Linked DNA regions of Drosophila melanogaster. The protein of the gene in region 2 interacts with the protein of the main gene of each other region in a pairwise test. Each region holds a gene or a part of one and is shown on either strand. Other genes may lie near its edges.

What was found.
Region 1: the proteins of CG1647 (region 2) and CG8569 interact in a two-hybrid assay, tested with the Drosophila melanogaster proteins (one large-scale study listed by BioGRID).
Region 3: the proteins of CG1647 (region 2) and CG18599 interact in a two-hybrid assay, tested with the Drosophila melanogaster proteins (one large-scale study listed by BioGRID).

What each region holds. Positions count from the first base shown.
Region 1 is NT_033778.4:12,517,350-12,522,532, forward strand, and holds CG8569 (uncharacterized protein), read left to right. Parts: upstream 1-1,816; 5' UTR 1,817-1,883; coding exon 1,884-1,998; intron 1,999-2,063; coding exon 2,064-3,121; intron 3,122-3,181; coding exon 3,182-3,835; 3' UTR 3,836-4,275; downstream 4,276-5,183. Other genes in the region: CG8818 (uncharacterized protein), read right to left, coding at 55-239, 292-425, 488-1,458.
Region 2 is NT_033777.3:28,817,962-28,825,189, forward strand, and holds CG1647 (uncharacterized protein), read left to right. Parts: upstream 1-2,259; 5' UTR 2,260-2,376; coding exon 2,377-2,556; intron 2,557-2,610; coding exon 2,611-2,757; intron 2,758-2,826; coding exon 2,827-3,035; intron 3,036-3,097; coding exon 3,098-6,230; 3' UTR 6,231-6,547; downstream 6,548-7,228. Other genes in the region: CG1523 (uncharacterized protein), read right to left, coding at 1-713, 840-1,209, 1,261-1,553.
Region 3 is NT_033777.3:18,265,369-18,271,672, forward strand, and holds CG18599 (uncharacterized protein), read left to right. Parts: upstream 1-2,420; 5' UTR 2,421-2,696; intron 2,697-4,116; 5' UTR 4,117-4,188; coding exon 4,189-5,107; intron 5,108-5,224; coding exon 5,225-5,733; 3' UTR 5,734-5,804; downstream 5,805-6,304. Other genes in the region: Vps39 (vacuolar protein sorting 39), read right to left, coding at 6,012-6,304.

The DNA.
Region 1 (5,183 bases), on a different chromosome or scaffold from region 2:
CAAACACTTGTGCTGTAACTACGATGACAACGGCTTAACGATGGAAACTGGGGACTAGAACTTGTACTGGAAGGACTTGGGTGCCTTGTACTTGCTGGCCATTCCCGAAGAGTCCACAGGATCGCTCTGGTCGAGGAACAGACTGAGGAACTGTTCGTTCTGCAGCTCATTTAGCGGCATCTCTAATTCACTGCAGGATTTGACAATCTCAGCGCAGGCTCGCAGATCCTTGCGCATATCTAAAAACGAAACGGGAGTTACATAATATTCGGTTGTGTTGCACAGACTCACATTGATAGTTAAAGAGCAAGCTGAGGCAGCTGGAGCAGGCCAAACGCTGCTGGTGCTGCAAGAACGCCTCGATTAGCCGATGCACCGCATCAACATTGTTACGGGCCAGAAATGAAGAGCACAAAGAACTGGCTCTGCAAGGAAGGTTACATTGGGATTCAAATTTCGGGTTTTTAAAGAAATTAAAGCGACTTACCTCCTCTCCACTAGCTCTTGCAGCTCCTTGTAGTGCTCAAACAGTTCCGAAGCCGATTTTTGATCGCAAAACCAATCGCTAGCGAAGCATTGCTTCCACACACAGGCCACCACAAAGATGTCCTTGTGCTCGCGGTGAATGGCACGCGCTACCTCCAGCAGCGACACTAGCACCGCCTCACTCTTCTGGGCCAGAGTCTCCTCGGAAATGGTGCGGAATGCGGAGCGCGCCATCCGCCTGCCCTCCTCCGAAGTCATGCTTACCCCGTAACCGCGATGTAGCGTCATCAGGGCCACGTCGGCGTTACCATTGTTCCACAGGGCGATGGCGCGGAAGGGCGCCAGATCCGCGTAGGTCTGTGAGAACGGGTGCTCCAGCTGCCGACAGGTCTCCGCCAGTGCCTCCAACTGCTGGAGCTTGCGCTGCGCGCTCAAATACTTTAGACAGGACACGAAGACCTCGTTGGAGGGCAACAGGTTGCAGCGGATGCACTGACGTATCAGGTAGAGAAAGTCCAGCTTGTTCTTGATCTCCAACGTGGCCATCAGCAGGTTGTCCAGCTGCGCCTGCGACAGGGATCTGATATCCAGTCCCAGTTGGGGGGAGCGCAGCGCCTTCAGATCACTCATCATGCCCTTGGACATAAGACCCACGTTCTGGCTAAAGCTGGTACTACCAGCCTTTCGCTGCGTTCCCACATTGCAATTGGCGTCCGCCTCCAGATTTCCGGACGATGGCCTCTTTATCAGGCTATCGCGCAGCTCCTCCCACTTTTGGGTCTTTCTGGTCACCAAGTCGTTGGTGAAACAGTCCATGGGATCGAGATGTGTGGACTTCCGACGTTGCCGCTGCGTTCCCGGCCACAAGAAGGCCGAGATGTAGTTTTGGAAACGCTGCAGGCCCTTGGGTGAACCGGGTGCTCCGGCCACCGTGGTGGTGCCGCTGCTGGTCAATCGCGTCAGCATGGCCATGACTTGGGGTCACCTCCGCGTCCTCCGCTCTTCTAGACACGCCTCCTTTGCCCCGTTTTTGTCTCGGATTGTATAAGTTGTGTATATTTTTTGTTTTCAACAGTGTTACCGTCGCTGATCCGTGTGAAAATGCCATCGAGGAATACCATTATTACGAATCATAGCAAGTTGTTACTGAAATAAACTCAGATACTTTGTTTCACAAATGTTTAAAAATGGAATGCTGCATATAATTACAAACTTACTTTTAAGTAGAGTCATTTAAAAATCCATAAATTTGTATGTAAATTTAAAGTTACCCCTACGTGGCAGCTCCTGTTGCCTATAGTTGGCAACGCGAGTTCACCCAATCCAGCAGTCCGGCAACGCTTCCAGTTAGCCAAAAATTGATTTCATTTGCAAGAAAACTTTAAAACGCAAATGAAATGGCCAGCGATATTCCACCTTCAGCCATCCGTATTTGGATGGACAAGCTGAAAAAGGGCGTTGGGCAGCCGGCGACAGTCCTAGAGCGTTCCCTGCTCAATTTAATGAGTGCAGGTAAGTGAACCATTGAATGTCCAATCCATAACGTTTGTCTCAAACATCTAAAAATCCAACTTCAGAAGCAGCCAGTTTATCGGTGAAAAATGCCACGGAGCGAGGCATACTGGTGGCCAGAGCAGGCGGCGGACGGTCCAAGCGTCTGGCCCTCGCCTTTTGTCAAAAAGTAAGCCGGCTGCCCAGCTCACCAATTGATCCGTTCTGCTTCGAGTGCCATTTGCCCGGAGCCGTTAAGAAATGCATATCCTGCCATCGCTCCTTCCACGAGAATTGCCAGCGACAGGACCCGGAGAAGCCCAATTATTCAGTGCCCTCGGACAAGGGCCAACCTTACCAGTTTCCCGTCAACGAATTGGACAATCAGCCCCTGAATAACACTCAGAACTTGGAGACTCCCCAAACGCCAACGCCCCTGCTCGATCATAATAGCAACATCAATCAGACTTTGCTAGCCACTACGGATTTCCTGAAGCACGAGAACATCGAGTGGGACGACGACGTCTTCTTTGTGTGCGAACAAAAGGGCGCGCGCCAGCGAAAGCTGCCCAGGATCAAGGACGAACTACAAAGCAGTTTGGATAGCGATGAGGGAAGCGATCTGGAGCGCTGCACCCACTGCCGTTTGCTCGCCCTGGCCGCTCTCCACAACCCACCGCAACTCGACAAGCAAGAGCTGGGCTGCCTATTGAAGTACTCCTGGGACCAGCATCACTCCTGGATCTCCATGGATGTGGCCAAGTACATGGCCAAGCATTGGAACGAACGCGACAAGGCGCTGGTTAAGCGGCTACTCTTCAAGACAAAGATTTTGGGTCTGGGCGACATCGAGCGCAACATAGCGGCGGCGAAGTATACGTACCTAACAGAATTCCTAATGGATCTGCTCGATCTGCAGCACAACATGGCCGTGTTCTTTGGGCAAAAGAGCGTTGAGTACAATGCCACCAAGTGGCTGATGAGAGATGTGACGCACGACATTCGCGAAATCCGTCGTTGCCCCGACTGCTATAGGTATTCCAACGAGGCCAGCCTGTCGGATCTCTGGTTCGCCAAGCCATGTCTTCAGCGGCACGAGTTGGTATTTGCCAAGCAGGTGGGCTCACCACCGTGGCCTGCAAAGGTACGTACGATATTATCATTACTATGTAATATATACACATAAATATAATTTCTTTACCAGGTGATGAGCGTCTCCAAGCGTCAGCCCATCAAGTACGACGTCCGCTTCTTCGGTGGCACTCATTCCCGGGCCCTCATCTCAGAACGTGATATTACACCCATCGAGTCGGACATTCAGTCGCATATCAAACCACGGAACTCCCGAGCTCTGAGCGCTGCGATAAAAGAACTGCAGTGTCACATGATGTTGTCCCACTATTCCGCCTCGCTATTCGGCTTCCATGCAGATCCCACCGTTGCCGAGAATCTCATTAAGGTGGCTCTATCCCACTGCACGGAGTCAACGGAAACGAGTGCGTCCGGCAAACGAGGACGCCCGCCGACTCCAGCCACTCCCGGCGCTGCAAAGAATCGACGGCTTAATAACACCACTTCGAATACCTCATCGCCGGTGCCCATTCGTGGGATTCCTGACTCCGTAGCATATGATAGTCTAACCGCCGAAATACTGCAGGCGCATAACGATCTGCTAAATTGCCGAAGAGAGCTCTCGGCCACGCAAAGGAAGCTGGCCGAAGTGAAAAGGAAGCAATGGTGCTACCATTGCCTGGATGAGGCCGTTTTTAACTGCTGCTTTACTGCGTCCTACTGCAGCGTTGAATGCCAGCGACGTGATAAGAGACGCCACCAAGCATCCTGCAAAGTTACTCATTAAATTAGGACTACAGACGAAATTGGAAACTATGTCCAAAGTGATAACATCTCGTTTGTTACCATCCTTTTGTATCAAATGTATCCGTTCTTAAGATATGCATCAATATTTTCAGAAGATAAAGAATGTTAAACTTGTATTAATGAAAAATATTATCAATGAGATATTTGAAAATGGCGCCTTTTCCGTTCTTATGATGGGCAGCACTGTTTCCGCTAGGTGTCGCCACCTGATCATATTAATCCATATTCATATTACGTTTATAAAAAATCAGAAAAAACGTACAATACTTTAAAAGTGTGGGCGTGGAACTTACTTGTACTTGTTACTAACAATATAAAAACTTGTTTCCTACCAAAAAATATATACATATTTTATAAGAATGGGTATTATTTCGTGCCAGCTGTATTCATAATAATAAACACAAATTATTGTTCATCCACAATATTTTCGTGGCATACTTAAATAATTACAATTGAAACACATGGAAAACTTTAATGACAGTTTCTTTCTCGATAAAACCAATCGATTTTGAATAGTATCTCATTAAATTCATGGTTTTTAACTGCTCTAATTTTAAATGGTTTTATTCGATTTATCAATATTTAAACCATGAGCAAGATCTGTTTTCCCGCAGTCGTCTTGCACAGCCATACTTATAAAAAAGGTTCCCAATTTATCTATTTAAAAAAGTGCGCAAGAAACATATACCAAATAAGCGAATCACTAAAGTGAATAGTTAAGTTTATACCTTAAAAAGGAAACAAGAAAGCAAGTCAAAAGTATTATTATTTTAAAAAGAATCGAAGGCCTTTGTACTGTGTATAACTAAAAGGAAATAATGGCAATCAAGCTGAAATTGTGCGTCGCTTTTCAGTTGATTTGTATTTATTATCTCACAGAGGTAACGAATTATTATAACTGAAATGTCATATTTTAAAAGCTTCTTTTAGGTTTATTCCCTAGTGGAATTTACAAACGTACAGTGCGAGACCTTGGATAAGGACTTTTCCCTATTTGAATATTGCTATCTTTAATCTGTGAACCGATCTTACAAATATGTTTCCCTCAAAGTTAAACTACTAAAGATACCCGTAACCAAAATTAAGGTATAATTTAGTAAACTTATATTTATACCTAAGCGATTATAATAAGTTACTGTTTTTTAATTCAGGTGCAATTTGGTCTCTATAAACGTTTGAATGGCTATAAGCCTTTTCTCTACAATATGACTCTTGACGGGTGCAGATTTCTAAAATCTAGAAATCCCAATCCGATTGCTCTGTATTTTTACAATCTCTTTAAAGATTATTCCAACATAAACCACACCTGTCCTTATAACGTAAGTATA
Region 2 (7,228 bases):
CTGCTCTGGTTGCTTTCTGTGGGCGGCGGGGTGGTCAGGGGGCGAGGACTGGTGCTGCTGCCCATCAGACTATTTGCCCCCAATTGTCTTAGCGGAAGCACTCCGCTGCTGATGGCGTACACAAAGTTATAGCCGCTGACATGGTTATTGGAGACGCGTGCACGGTTCTGTCGGATGGCCCGCTCCTGGACTGTGACCTCCGCCGCCCAGATGTCCGGTATGAAGGAATCCGAGCGTGTCAAGACTGAAGGGTTGTCAGAGGCGCCACGCCCTGCTCCAGAGTTATCCAGTTGGAATACTTGTACACTGCTGACCCGCAACGGTCTCCGTGCCTGTCTGGGAGTAAGGCCAACCGTATCCTGGTCCTGGGATTCATTCAACGAGCTGCGGCTGGCTAGTGTGGTGGACACTCGCTTTCTCTTGGGCTGTGGCTCCACCTCGTCCTGCTCATCCTCGCTGCGCACCGGCTCCTCGTTGATGTCGTGGATGCAGGTCCACTCGCTCTGCTCGTCGCAGCTGACGTTCCTCGTCAGCATGCAGCAACAGTGCGGGTGAATCTGCAATGCCATGATCATCTCGGCGTCGTTGTTCTCCGGAAAGTCGGTGACCAGCTCCACGCGGTTCTTCTTTTGACGCTTGGAGAACACATGATCGTACTTTGCGGCCTGCGGGATATACTGTTCGCCCAACTGCATAAGTCGGTAGATACCGGGCTGGAAAATCAAACGGGCTTATTAGTTGACCATCTATCTACATATGTAACCATTTCATATATCTGGACGAAACTTAAAATCTTGAACCAAACTGAAAATCACAGCGATATTTACAAACTTTCTTACCCTGAATCCGCACAGATCTTTGTGGAGCGTGGTGAGGTCAAGGTGATGGATAATCATAATGTATCCACCGCTTGTGCAGAGAACCAGCTTATCGCCCGTGGGCGAAATCCTGCAGCGCATCAGTCCACTGGCATGAAATACGCGCTGCGAGATAAGGCCCTGTTCAGTCTGCGAATTGATGTCCCAAGTGAAGATGCTGCCATCGAAGCCGGAGCTTACGAGCAACTTGTCCTTGGAGGAGTACTCGATGTTCTTCACCCAGTTGGAGTGGCCGTGGAGGACGCGCAACTTCTGCTTCATGTTCCGCAGGTCCCACAGTGCCACAGTAAAGTCATCTGAACCAGTGGCGAAGAGGCGCTCGTCAAAAAATCTGGAGCGAGGATTAGCAACGAACCTCCTCGAAGGCAACTTCTACACTTACTTGATGCAATTGACACTATCTGTGTGGGCGTCCGGTACCTTAAAGATCTCCTTCTGTGTGATGGCATCGAAGACGAGGACGCACTTCCTCTCCGTGGCGGCCACGACAACGTTCCCATCGGCATTGAACTCCAGGTTGAAGATGGCCCCAGTGCGTCCCGCATCCGTGGGCCAGCAGTTGGCGTGGTAGCTATTAAACATGTTCATCGAGCTGTAAATCCGCCGCATCAGGGAGTTGTCGTCGCTCCGGTGGATGTGGAAGCCACTTTCGCGGCGGCTCAAGTACCGCTCCATCGTGTGGGCTCTGGGATCTCTTAAGTGGATCGGAAAACCTAGAGGAGTGTATGGGTGTGTGCCTTCTCGCGATTTCACAGGCACCGCGATGCAATTTCCCCGTGGCCTTTCTTGTGTTTATTCTGAAACCAGGGGTGCAACGCCGTGCTGCTTGTAACCGATTTCTTTTTACAACTGAACAATCAAGAATTAAGAAAGTTGAACAATGGTAGATTCATCAATGGTAGATAATCATCTGGACTTAAAATATCCTTTTTTGGCACAATACTCTGTAAATTAATGGAATCGATTCTTTTTGCTTCGCCGTACGATGATTAACTTGAAGTATTTTTCATCCAAAGCACTTATTGCAATTCAATATATTCTGAAATTACGATGATACAATTTCATAGTGTAGCCCTGAAAACGAAGTGCTTTTAACACCACTTGTAAAAATAGTAAACAAACATCTTTTTAGTAAAGACGTACAATTTGTTTCAGTATTTATTCTGCAACTATATAACATTATTTATTTATAAAAATTTTTGACAAATTTTTTATATTTAGTGATAAGAAATAGCCAATAATGTGATTTTATTGGCTAAATATTTTTTTTAACGAGTTTCAAAAATTATACTTAAAATCAAATTTGCTAATTTTGAGATAAGCAAAAAATTCGATCCTATCGATAGCACATCGATTTCTACCAACCTTGTTAGCCGCTGACCAACACTAAGCGTATTGGAATAAACAAAATGCAAGTTCAACTGGAGATAAAACCTTTAATCATGCTAAATTACCGGTGAATAAAGCCTTTCGAGACAAATTTTAAGATCCGGCCGAAATGGATCGGTTTGCTTTTAAGATCGACGCTGCCCTCAAGGCGAATCTGTGCACGATCTGTCGTCTGTGCGGCATCGATAATCCAGGAAAAGTGCCAATACTTTTGCCAAATGAAGAAGACACCATCGACCTGGACGAGCCTAGGATGTCCCAGAAGATCTACGAGCTGGTGGGCTTCACTGTGGGTGTTTTTCTTAAAAATGTTCATAGCCAAGTTAACCAACGCCCTTTGCAGGTGTCCGTGGACGACAAAATGCCGCAGACAATTTGCAGCCAGTGCGTGGATAAAATCAATGATTTTTATGAGTTTCGGGAAATGTGCTATGCGACGAATAAACAGACTCGAAATCTATTGGGATTGAAGCAAATAGAGCCCGCAAGAGTGAGAAAAACGAATAACTATATTATAATTTATAATTATACGAACTAATGTATTATTTACGCCTCACAGTTAATTGATCTTAAGCGCATCGTTAAGGAGGAACGGCCAATATCTGGTGCAGTTGGAAAACGGGGAAGGAAGCGCAAGGGCGAGGAATCCTGGCCAAAAAATAACAATGTCAAGCCACAGGTAAAAAAGGAGTCCTTTGTGTGGCACAAAAAGCAAAAACTACAGCCATCACAGATAACATCTTTAGTGTCCAAAAGAGAGCCGGAGATGTAACTATAACATACATTCCTCTTGTTCTATTTGTAAATAATTCCCATTTTTATTATCCCAGCAAAGACGAGCCCGCTGAACAGGACACCAGTCTTAAGGGACCACCGAAAAAGGCCGGTCGCAAGTCTATTTGCAGCGTTTGCGGCGAGAAGTTCCTTAGCAAGGAGCTGGCCGACGAGCATAAAAGCCTGGTGCATGTGCCATCGATACCGCGATACATATGTAATGCCTGCAACCAGACGCACCACAACCAGAGCGACATACGCGCCCACCAGCTGTGGCATAAGCTCTCCAAGACTCCCTACAAGTGTCCCCTGTGCGAGTCTAGCGTAGCCAATGCGTATGCTTTTACGCGCCATTTGCGCGAACACACACCACCCACTCCCGTCCAACTGCTCGTCCTGGATCGGGAGTGTCCGCTGTGCAAGAAGACTTTCGTCACGAACTTCTTCTACAACACTCACCGCTGTGCCATCCGTAAACGCAAGTGCGGCGGTTGCAGTCGCACCTTGAACACCGAAGCGGCCTATATGCGTCATGCGCCAACCTGCCCAAAGATTTACCTCAACCACTCGAAGCACATCATGCCCCAGGTGGTGACCAATGAGGCGCAGATGTTAATCAAGAACGAGATCGAGGAGGAATTGCTAGGTCTTCCGCCGGCCACAACAGTGCCGCCGGATTTCGTCATAGACGAGGGTATGCAACCGGTAGTAGTTCTGGAACGCCTGTCATCGCCACTTCTGCGGTCTTCGTCTGGAACCGATCAACTGGTTGCTGCCAAAAGCAAAAATAGCGATAGGGTTTCTGCCAGGAATTATTTGAAACGAGTGGATCAGCTGCTGAAGAATACGATTAACACTCTGGTCAGCATTAAGCATGAGCCAGAAGTGCACATAAATGACACGGGGCCACCTAGAGGTCAAGCCGAGAGTGATCCCGAGCCGGAACGGAATGAAGAACATCCAAGTTTTGGTGATGATATTCAGGCAGCTAACGACGAATGTCAGGAATGTCAACCGGAAACAGAATCCGATAAAATCTCTGTTGCTGCCTGTGACGATATTCCCAGTGTATCTGTTAAACAGGAACCCGAGTATGACGGCTATGAAAAGCAAACGGGAGTGAAGCAAGAGCCTCTGAAGCTAAAACTTAAAATAACGAAGAACCATGGAAAGCTGAACTCTTCTCTCATAGACGATCTGGATGAAGCTGGACAGGCGTTTGGCAGAAGCAGCAAAAAGAAAAAGAAAAGAAAGCATAAGGAACGGGAGAAGGAAGCGTCGAACGAGACTGAAAACTGTCGAACAGAATCTCAGAATCAACCTGCCATTAAAATCAAACAGGAACCCGTCGATTATGCTCCTGAGGCCACTGTCATGACCACTATTCCCATGACTCAGTTTGAAAGCAGCTTAAACGAAAGCGAACGAAGTGAGGAAGTCGATGAGGCCATGATTCAGAGTCAGGAAGATGTTAAGCCAAATCGCATGGAGCTTGATCGTATGATGCAGATCTCTAATGTGACCAGTGGCGTGGATATGGCAGAAGAAGCAATGGCATTAGAACGAGCTGAAGAAGCCTGTCCCGAGGACTCCCTGCACAAGGTGAAGTCCGTAAAGTCCACAGCGCGCAAAAGTACGGGAGGTGCAGAACGGAAAACGTATAGCCCACCCAGGACGAACACTTTGCCGCAGATTGTTGCCGTTGTGAGCGGCGAGTCGGCGTTTAACATGATTTCCATCAAGCCGGAACCGAGAAATCTCGGATATGGAGACGAAGAACCAGAAGATCAACGAGAAACTACAGAAGAGATTAATCATAATGACATGATGGAAGAAGAGAAAGAATACATAGGCAGTTTAGATCTAAGTGATGTATCAGTGAAACAGGAAAGAGAGTTGGACATATGCGAGATAGACGCCGTGCACAGAAACGGATTGGAGAAGAGTGATGAGGACGATGACGATGGAAATGAAGACAGTGCATCATCAGCCGATGAAGCTGAGGAAGCCATGGAGCGGGACACGGAAGAGCGCATATATCGTGAAATAGAGTTGCCACCATTAGAACTTCAAAACGAGTCATCTAGGAAAGATTTGGAATCGGAAAGAATGGATACAGAGGTATCCACTGCATTGCCTGCCAGTGAAACTCCTTCGCAAACTCGGGACGTGCTAGGTGTGGAAAAATCAGAAGCTTCTGCTTTTAGTTTGGTCATAACCAACATATGCAGTCAAGCTGTACCGCAACCATCTGCAGCATGCTCAAATGATATAGAATGTTCAATAGGCCCAAGCCCCAGCACTACAAATGAACCTCATTCCCACACAGTGGAAAATGTCCAGTCTCCTGCAAACGACCTCCAAACTTCTGCACAAGTTGCCATTGCCGCACAATCCCAGCCCGATCCTTGCATTGTCTCTCAGCCTGCAGCTTCGTCCGAATCCCAAGCAGATACTAAAGATCTCCCTCCCGCAGCTTCACAGATCCAAACCTTTAACACAGAATCTTTGCCGATTCATGTCCATAGCGAAACTGAGGATAATTCAATAGAAAACGATGCCTCCTATCTGGAATCACGTGCTCAGGTCGACTGTCAATCCGCGGGAACAGAAAATCCTTCTGTTGTCTTAGAGCAAAACGAATCCCTCCCAAGTGGAAGCTGTGTTTCGCCTATACCTGAAAACCCCTCCCCAGGTAATTCACCACCGCAACACGATGAATCGGAATCTCTGGACAAACCAGAAATGGCAGCAGGGAGTGCATATTGTTTAGCAACAGTGTCGCTTGATGCTCCAAAAGATACTGAAGCGCTTGCTTTGCCACCTTGCGATGCAGCTATCATAGATAGTAATTACACATCCGACGAGGAGCAGCAAAATGTGCTTAATCATGAGCTCTCGGAGCAGCAACTGGCTATAATGGAACACAGACAGCTACTAGTTCACGAGGAGCAGCCGGCTTTGCTGGAGGTAATACCACCAGGACTCTCGTCTAGGCCGATCGAGGAGACTGAGAACCGTATTAACGAGCAGCAGCAGGATCTGGAGCAGGGGGAGGAACGTCCACCTCGTTTCCAGGCCAACGACGACTCCAATATCAACGAAATCGCCGAGAACAATAACAACGCCAACATTGAGCGTGAATTGCAAGACGATGCGCTCGGGGCTCAGGAAAACGTAAATCCATAGACTTCGGATAACTGATTGGCCTTAGCCATATATCCAATTTACACTAGCATGCCCTCCTCATTCTATTAGGAGCTGTAAATATGTACGGAATGGTGAATTGTGCTTTTGTAATTGGATACGAGTAGAATTGGAGCTACCACGAATTGAGAATAAACTTCTTTCGGATAGCATTATTTTTAAGTTAGATATACACAACTTTATTACATAAATTAATGGCTTATATGTTAGCATATGTAAGTATAATGTATTTAAATACATACATCGCACAAAACTCTTTAGACATGCGTACACACATTAATCAAAAATCTGATCCACATAAATTTCTCGCTCTGACAAGCTTATTGGGTTTATTAGTTTCAAAAATGTCACGACAACATACATATACGTAATCGTGGTTTAAATACAAACACACAGAAGAAAAATGACTACAAGTTTGCATTAAATGCGCTCGAACTAAAAGAAAATACTTATGCGTTACTAGGTCATCAATCGATTGGGTGTAACTGAATGAATAGACAGCTTTAGCGGACCCATGGGTGCCCGAGGAAGCCTTGTGGTCAACATAATTTGAATACATGCCTATTGGACTTAGCCACACTTACATTACATTTGTTAATAATTATTTCAACAAGTAGTGAATTATTACTGAGCAAACTTGTAAATTTAGTTTATGGTTAATTGCGGGCAAATCTATTAGTTTAAATATTGTATTTGAATAATTCTCAGCTGTGGCTTTATTAATAGCAGTCACAGATTTCTTTTCGTTTGATCCTTCCCTTTGTTGTAGATTTATAAAATATATTCACTATAATAAATTTCTATCGCTCAGTTTACAGTTTTTCAGTTCGCTTAAAGGTGAATCTCTAATTTTTCACAAACTCCTCTTATATTTTGGTGTTCTCAAGTTTTTGGCACAGTAGTCTGAACGGGGTTTGCAAAACTCACCCACATATTGAAGAAACACTCGGTGTGTATTATTCATATTTAATTGAGCAGCT
Region 3 (6,304 bases), about 11 Mb from region 2:
ACCTCGAAAAAATATTAAAATTGTGGTAAATAAATGGAAAATAAAATATGTGGGTATATAAAAAGTATTTATATATGTATGTAAGCATATGTGTATTCTGTTAGTTAAAACTGATTTTCCGCTCACTCTCTCTCTCTCTTCTTCTGGCACCACTCTCTTTCGCTCTGCTGCGGCCGCCATTGCTAAATGCCGACGCCTGCGTCGACGTCAGCGTCGGCGCCAAGTGGCTGGCCAATTCTTGTGGGTACATTAGCACTAATGATGATTGAAACGACAAACGTGACGCCGAAGCACCCGAAAGGATCCTCTCCATCCCCAGCTCGTTGCCAAGCTCCAGTTCCCAATTCCACCTCTCCGTTTGCCCTTTTTTGGCTGCAAATTCCTGGCTGTGATTTTAGAATTTGTCCCTCTTTGGTTTTTTGAAAGATGAGACGAAAGTTGGACATTGAGGGAACAAGGCAATTTGTAACAATTTGGTTTTTATTTTCTTTAAATACCGTAAGCTTGGTCGATTTACCCAAATTAAATCGTTTTAAATGTTATGACGATTGCAACTGCATAGCAAGCAAATTCTTGCAGTGAAAAATCATCTACTACTTTTACTATATTTTATGTACATACATTTAAAGTTTCTTCAAAGCTAACGGATTACATTTGTTTTATTTTTTTGTGTGTAAACTCGCCATTTGCTTTGTTCTTTTTTGGCATTTTCCTTGTCTGCCCGCTCCACGTGCTCTTGCATTGATTTACTTTGATGGGCCGCTAATTGGGGCCTCCTTCGTCTTTCCATTTCCGTTTCCGCCAGTTTCGCTGGCTCGTAATGATCGTTGGCATTCCGGGTAGTTTATCAAACGGTAAATTGAACACCCGTTTGGCAGGCAAAAGGGTGGAGCCAAGGGGACGGCTAATTGGGGTTGGGTTTGGGGTTGACCTGCGGCTGTAGATAGTTCGTATTGCCAACTTAGTTTGGGGATTTGGGCCAAAAACGTTTCCAAGACTTAATACTACTAACATCGGCCAAAAAGGACCATAAAATGAAATTGACAAAGTTTATTTACTGATAAGTCGTAAACTGAAATACTAAATCTAAAGGTAATTCGACTCTGAATTGCACTTCGACATTGAATATCATGTTGTATACAGTGAAAATTTAACTAAATTAAGATTTAAAACAAATTATTAATGTGCGTTGTTTTGTCGATTTTACCTGTCCAAATTTAGATATTTATACTTATGATGTATCTACGATGTAATTTCTTAGCTTATTGCTTCATTAATTATGTCTATCCCCACATAGCCCTGCCCCAGTGGCTTTTCCACCTATTCACAAAATATTAATAATCCAGCGTCGCCATATTGTCCCGCAATATTTTCCGACTGCTTAGGTACCGCCCATTTGCCATGAGCGAGGGAGACGCTACCAGTGAGCCAATTATCCATTTATATCATAATTTCAATAACTTTTTATACACTCGCCCTCGGAAGGGAAACGGGTGTTTACCAATGGGTGTGTGGGCAGGGTTGCTCTGATAGGTGGGTGGCTCGGGTGGCTGGTGGTGGATTGCTCCCTTTGGTGGGTGATTCCTTTTTATGTAACTGCCTGGTGGATGCTCCTGAATAATGACGATGACTATCAACGATGATTATGATGACGATGATGATGATGAGGCTTCGGTTGACGATGTTTTTATGCCTCAGCTACATCTCATCTCCTTCTTTCCTTTGTTGGCTCTTTCAATGGCTCTGATCTAAGCTGAGTGCAGGGTTGTCAACTGTAGCAAAACAAAGTCATGGGCGAAAGTCTAAAAAGGAGATTTTAACGCTTTGCTGTTTTGAAGATATTGCTTTTAAAAGACAAATAATAAATCTATATCTTTCGGATGTGTTGTACCAATATGTTTTAAAATATCATATATATGAATGTATAATAGAGAGACTTTCTAAATGTACACTTTAATCGTTCAAATGCTTAGGAACATAATAGATTTAAACTAAATTAAGGTACAAATAATTGTAACAAATTTAATTATAAAAAATTAGGTATGTACATAATTGTGTCAAAAACCAAGATACCAAGATTATTTAAAACAATTTTTCATTTAAATTTAATTCTGTTTTCGTTAGCACAAAAAATTAAATGTATTCATGAAAACGAACAAAGTTCAAAGCACTTAATTACTAGTTAATGAATACTATTAGTGAAAGTTTTGACAACCCTGGTTGAGAGCAAAAAAAAGCCAAAGGAAAAGCGGATAGAAAAATCACAACGGCAACTCACGCACACCCACAAAAAGAATCACTCACCCGCACACAGACACAAACAAGCGCACCGCAGCAAACAGAAAGCAGCGCTGCCAGCTTCGCTGCCGGCGTTCGCTGCCGATAATGTAAAAATTTTACGGCCACGAACTTTTAGTTCAGTTCAGTTTGCAACACGTTCGCGTTCGCATGTGTTTCCGGCAGTTAAACTTCCGCTCGATTTTCTATTCGATTTCCGTTACTGCCGTTGGGCGCAGAACTGTAGGCAACACTTTTTGCAGTGCCGTCGGAAAAGCAAATTTTTCAGATTGAAAACTGTGTTCGTGAAAATAATAGTGAAAGTACTGAAAACTGATTAACTCACGCTTGGATTATCTTTTGAGTTGATTACATCTGCAATTGAAATCAATGTAATTAGAACTTCATTGGTTTAGAAGGTTTGTAACTTTTGCAATTTATAAGAATTTTTGGCCCAAATCGAGTTCCGTCGGCTTTTTAATTCAAGATTACTAAAAAAGATTTCTGATTTTGGATATGCCATTAAAAGAATTATTTGAGATTTACCAGCGTTGAGCTTGTAAACATAGCAATAATGTATAATTTATTATGCCCAATATTTTAAAATGCATTCAATGCTTAAAATTTTATAACGGATTCTCTAAAAATTTATCATTCAGCTAAAATCTGTATGTTTCAATAAGATAAATACCTAAAATTTTCAATACAAAATCATATTTATGATAGCTCAGATGATAGCTTAAATTTGATTTAAAGTGCTTATATGTTTTTACAAGTTTCTTATCGTTATTAATTTTTTTCAAATTGAACAAAGACTGATAAATGAACATGAGTGATTAGAAAGATACAAAATAGGATAACATACTAGCTTTTCTCTCAGGATCTAAGCTCCACAATTAATGTAGCTAGAAATTCACAGCCGGAATGTGTGTGAAATCCACTTGTTACACCCAAATGGCATTCTCCTAATGAAGCTCATTTGGCCCGCACACGACATTAGCCTCGCATATTTAGTCAAATCAGCTTAAATGCAGCTTGAGACATTCGCATATTTGGCCTAAAGCACAAACAATGAGCGACAACAGTGCTGAGGACTTGGGATGGTGCTTCACCTGGGAGAGCAACTACATCTGCCACAATGAAGCAGCAACTGTGACAAAGTCTCAATTAGGCTATCACATTGCCACAAAACGATTCAGGTTTGGCTTACCTGGGCAAACACAATGCATGCGAGCGAGAGAAGCTGGCATTAAGCAAATTATACACTTTTCAAAATTATTCTACATAAGCTGATATTATAAAATTTTAACCCTTGTAATGAATGCCAGAAATAATGTACAAAAAGGATCCATTTTAACATTGAAATATAGAGTTATAATTCTAACTTATATGCAAAAGTTGCAGATTCCTCTGTTGATTAAAAATATTAAAGATCCTTTAAAAGAAAATTTACTTCTTATAATTAAAGATATTGTTCTTATTTTAATATCTAATTTGATAGGACCATGTTTATAGACGATTGTAAACTAGAAATATTGGTATTGTTAACCTTAGATACTGTTGTTTCTACTTATATTAAGTTAGTAATACTTCAGTTCCAAAATTGTCATTGTGTAGGGAAAGTCATCAAAAGGTCCGTCCCAACCAGTTGTAGTTCCATTGTTCCATCTCCCACCACTTAGCTGAGCTGACCAAGCACTTCATGGTAGAGCAACTTCTTCAGCCAGCGATCACATTTCACTTAATTGTGGATTTAATCGGGGAGTCGTTGACACCTGGCAGCCACAGAAGCTCCACAGCAGAGCAACAATTAAACAGAGGCATTTCTCCCATTTGCAGAGCGACCGAGAATCCCGGAGGCCAGCGGCAGAAGGCGGACGACAACTCGGAGACAGTGGCAAATACCTAAGCATGCTGCAGAATCCTTCCAAATATCACGCAAATCCCTTGTCGCACTTCCTGGCATTGCATAACACACAAGCCAGTGGCGGCGGCAGCGGCGGGGGATCGTCGGTCGCCGGACTTGGAGGTTTGGGTGGGGGCATTCATGCACATGGTCAACCGCATCATGCAGCGCTGGCAGCGGCTGCAGCAGCGGCGGTCGCTGTCTCGGCGGGTCAGAGTTCATACCAAATGGAGCACCAGCAGCAGCATCATCAGTTGCAGCAGCAGCAGCAGCAGCAGCAACATCATCATCATCAGCAGCTGCACACCCACCACCAGGATGGCCACCACCCACACCCACCGACACCCACCACCGGCAACAACAACAACAACAGCAGTAGCAGCAGCAACAGCAGCAGCCACAACAGCAACAGCAACCACCGGGAACAGTTGGCGGCGGCGGCAGCCACTGCGACGTCGCACGCGCAGCTCATCGAGGCGGCAGCGGCGCATTCCTCCCTCGACGTGGGCAAGTCCTTTACCATCGCCGCCATTTTGGGCCTGCAGAGCCAGCGCAAGGACTACAACAATGCCATCAATCTCTCCCTGCACGACAACAACAACATCATCGGTGACGACAACAACAAGTGCTACACGAGCAACCCCAACAACAACAACAACAACAACAATAACGGCGGCAGCAACAGTGGCAACAACAACAGCAGCCCGAGTGTAAACAACTTCAATTGTGATAGTGTCGCCGGTAATGGACGTTACCTGCACGGCGGACACCAGCATCCGCATCCGCACCAGGCGGGATTTGCAGCGGTTGCCGCCGCCGTCGGAGCAGCTCCCTCCGCCCTGCAGAGCCTGCAGCAGCTCCACCAGCAACACCACGCTCAGCAGCAGGCCACCCTGAGCTTTCAGCGGGAAAAACTCAAGTCGGGTAAGCAGGTGTTTCAGTCGATGAATAACCCATGATTTGATCATAAGTGGGTATTAAGTAAACATAGTGTGTGCACATCTAATACCTCCATTTGATCATCATTTTGTGATTCGGCAGATTCTCACAAGAAGAGCGCACTGAAGAACAAGCGCGTCCGGACAATCTTCACGCCGGAGCAGTTGGAGTGCCTGGAGGCGGAGTTCGAGCGCCAGCAGTACATGGTCGGCCCGGAGCGGCTCTACTTGGCACACACCCTAAAGTTAACGGAGGCTCAGGTGAAGGTGTGGTTCCAGAATAGGCGGATCAAGTGGCGCAAGCACCACTTGGAACTGACACAACAACGGCTGGCATTGATAAGGCAAACTCAACTGCCAGGTACATCGTTATTGGGCAATCAAGTATCCGTGTCGGCCAATGCGGCCCATTCTGTGTCCACGGAACGCACAAACGGATGCAGTGCAGCCTCGCCCAGCCTGCAGGAGGAGGACAACGAGGATAGCAAGCACTCGCTGTCGCTTTCGGGCGCATTACCGCCGTTGAGTCGAGCGCAGTCCGAGTCGGATTTGTCCATCTGTAACGATTCCCTGGACGGCGACAGCCTCATGGACGGCAGCGAGGAGGCCTAAAAACCACGCCAGTGCAAAGCAAGTTTCCTGTAAATATAGTCAAATAAATATGTACAATATCGGTTTTCTATACTTCTGCTTGTCTTTAATTGTTGATGATTAGCTGCAAGTTGATTGTTACAATCAATCAATGCAAACTATATTATATTGTATAAGCATTGCAGTATATCCATTACATACGAGTACTGAAAAAGCTTATTTAAAAACAGAATAATACAGACATTTACACTCAATTCGCACTTTATACCTTGATCAGTTATCACATTGGAGTATTTCACTTATTGCTGAGCAGCCGCCCTGGCGAGCCGATCGTGGCAGGATAGGTGCACGATGTGCCCATTTGGATAGCGCACGAAGGCGGACTGGGTTTGAAAACGCTTCTTGCACTCGGAACACACACTAGACTCGTTTAACTCGAAGCTAATGTTTCGCTGCTCCTCCAAGGCATTCTCCAGGCGCGTGGACTCTGCCTCCAGGAAGCCGCACATCATCTGCATCTCGTGCTTGTCGGCCATCATTTTACGTATAGATTTCTCCAAGTATTTCTCCAGCTGGGGCATGGGCATGTCAT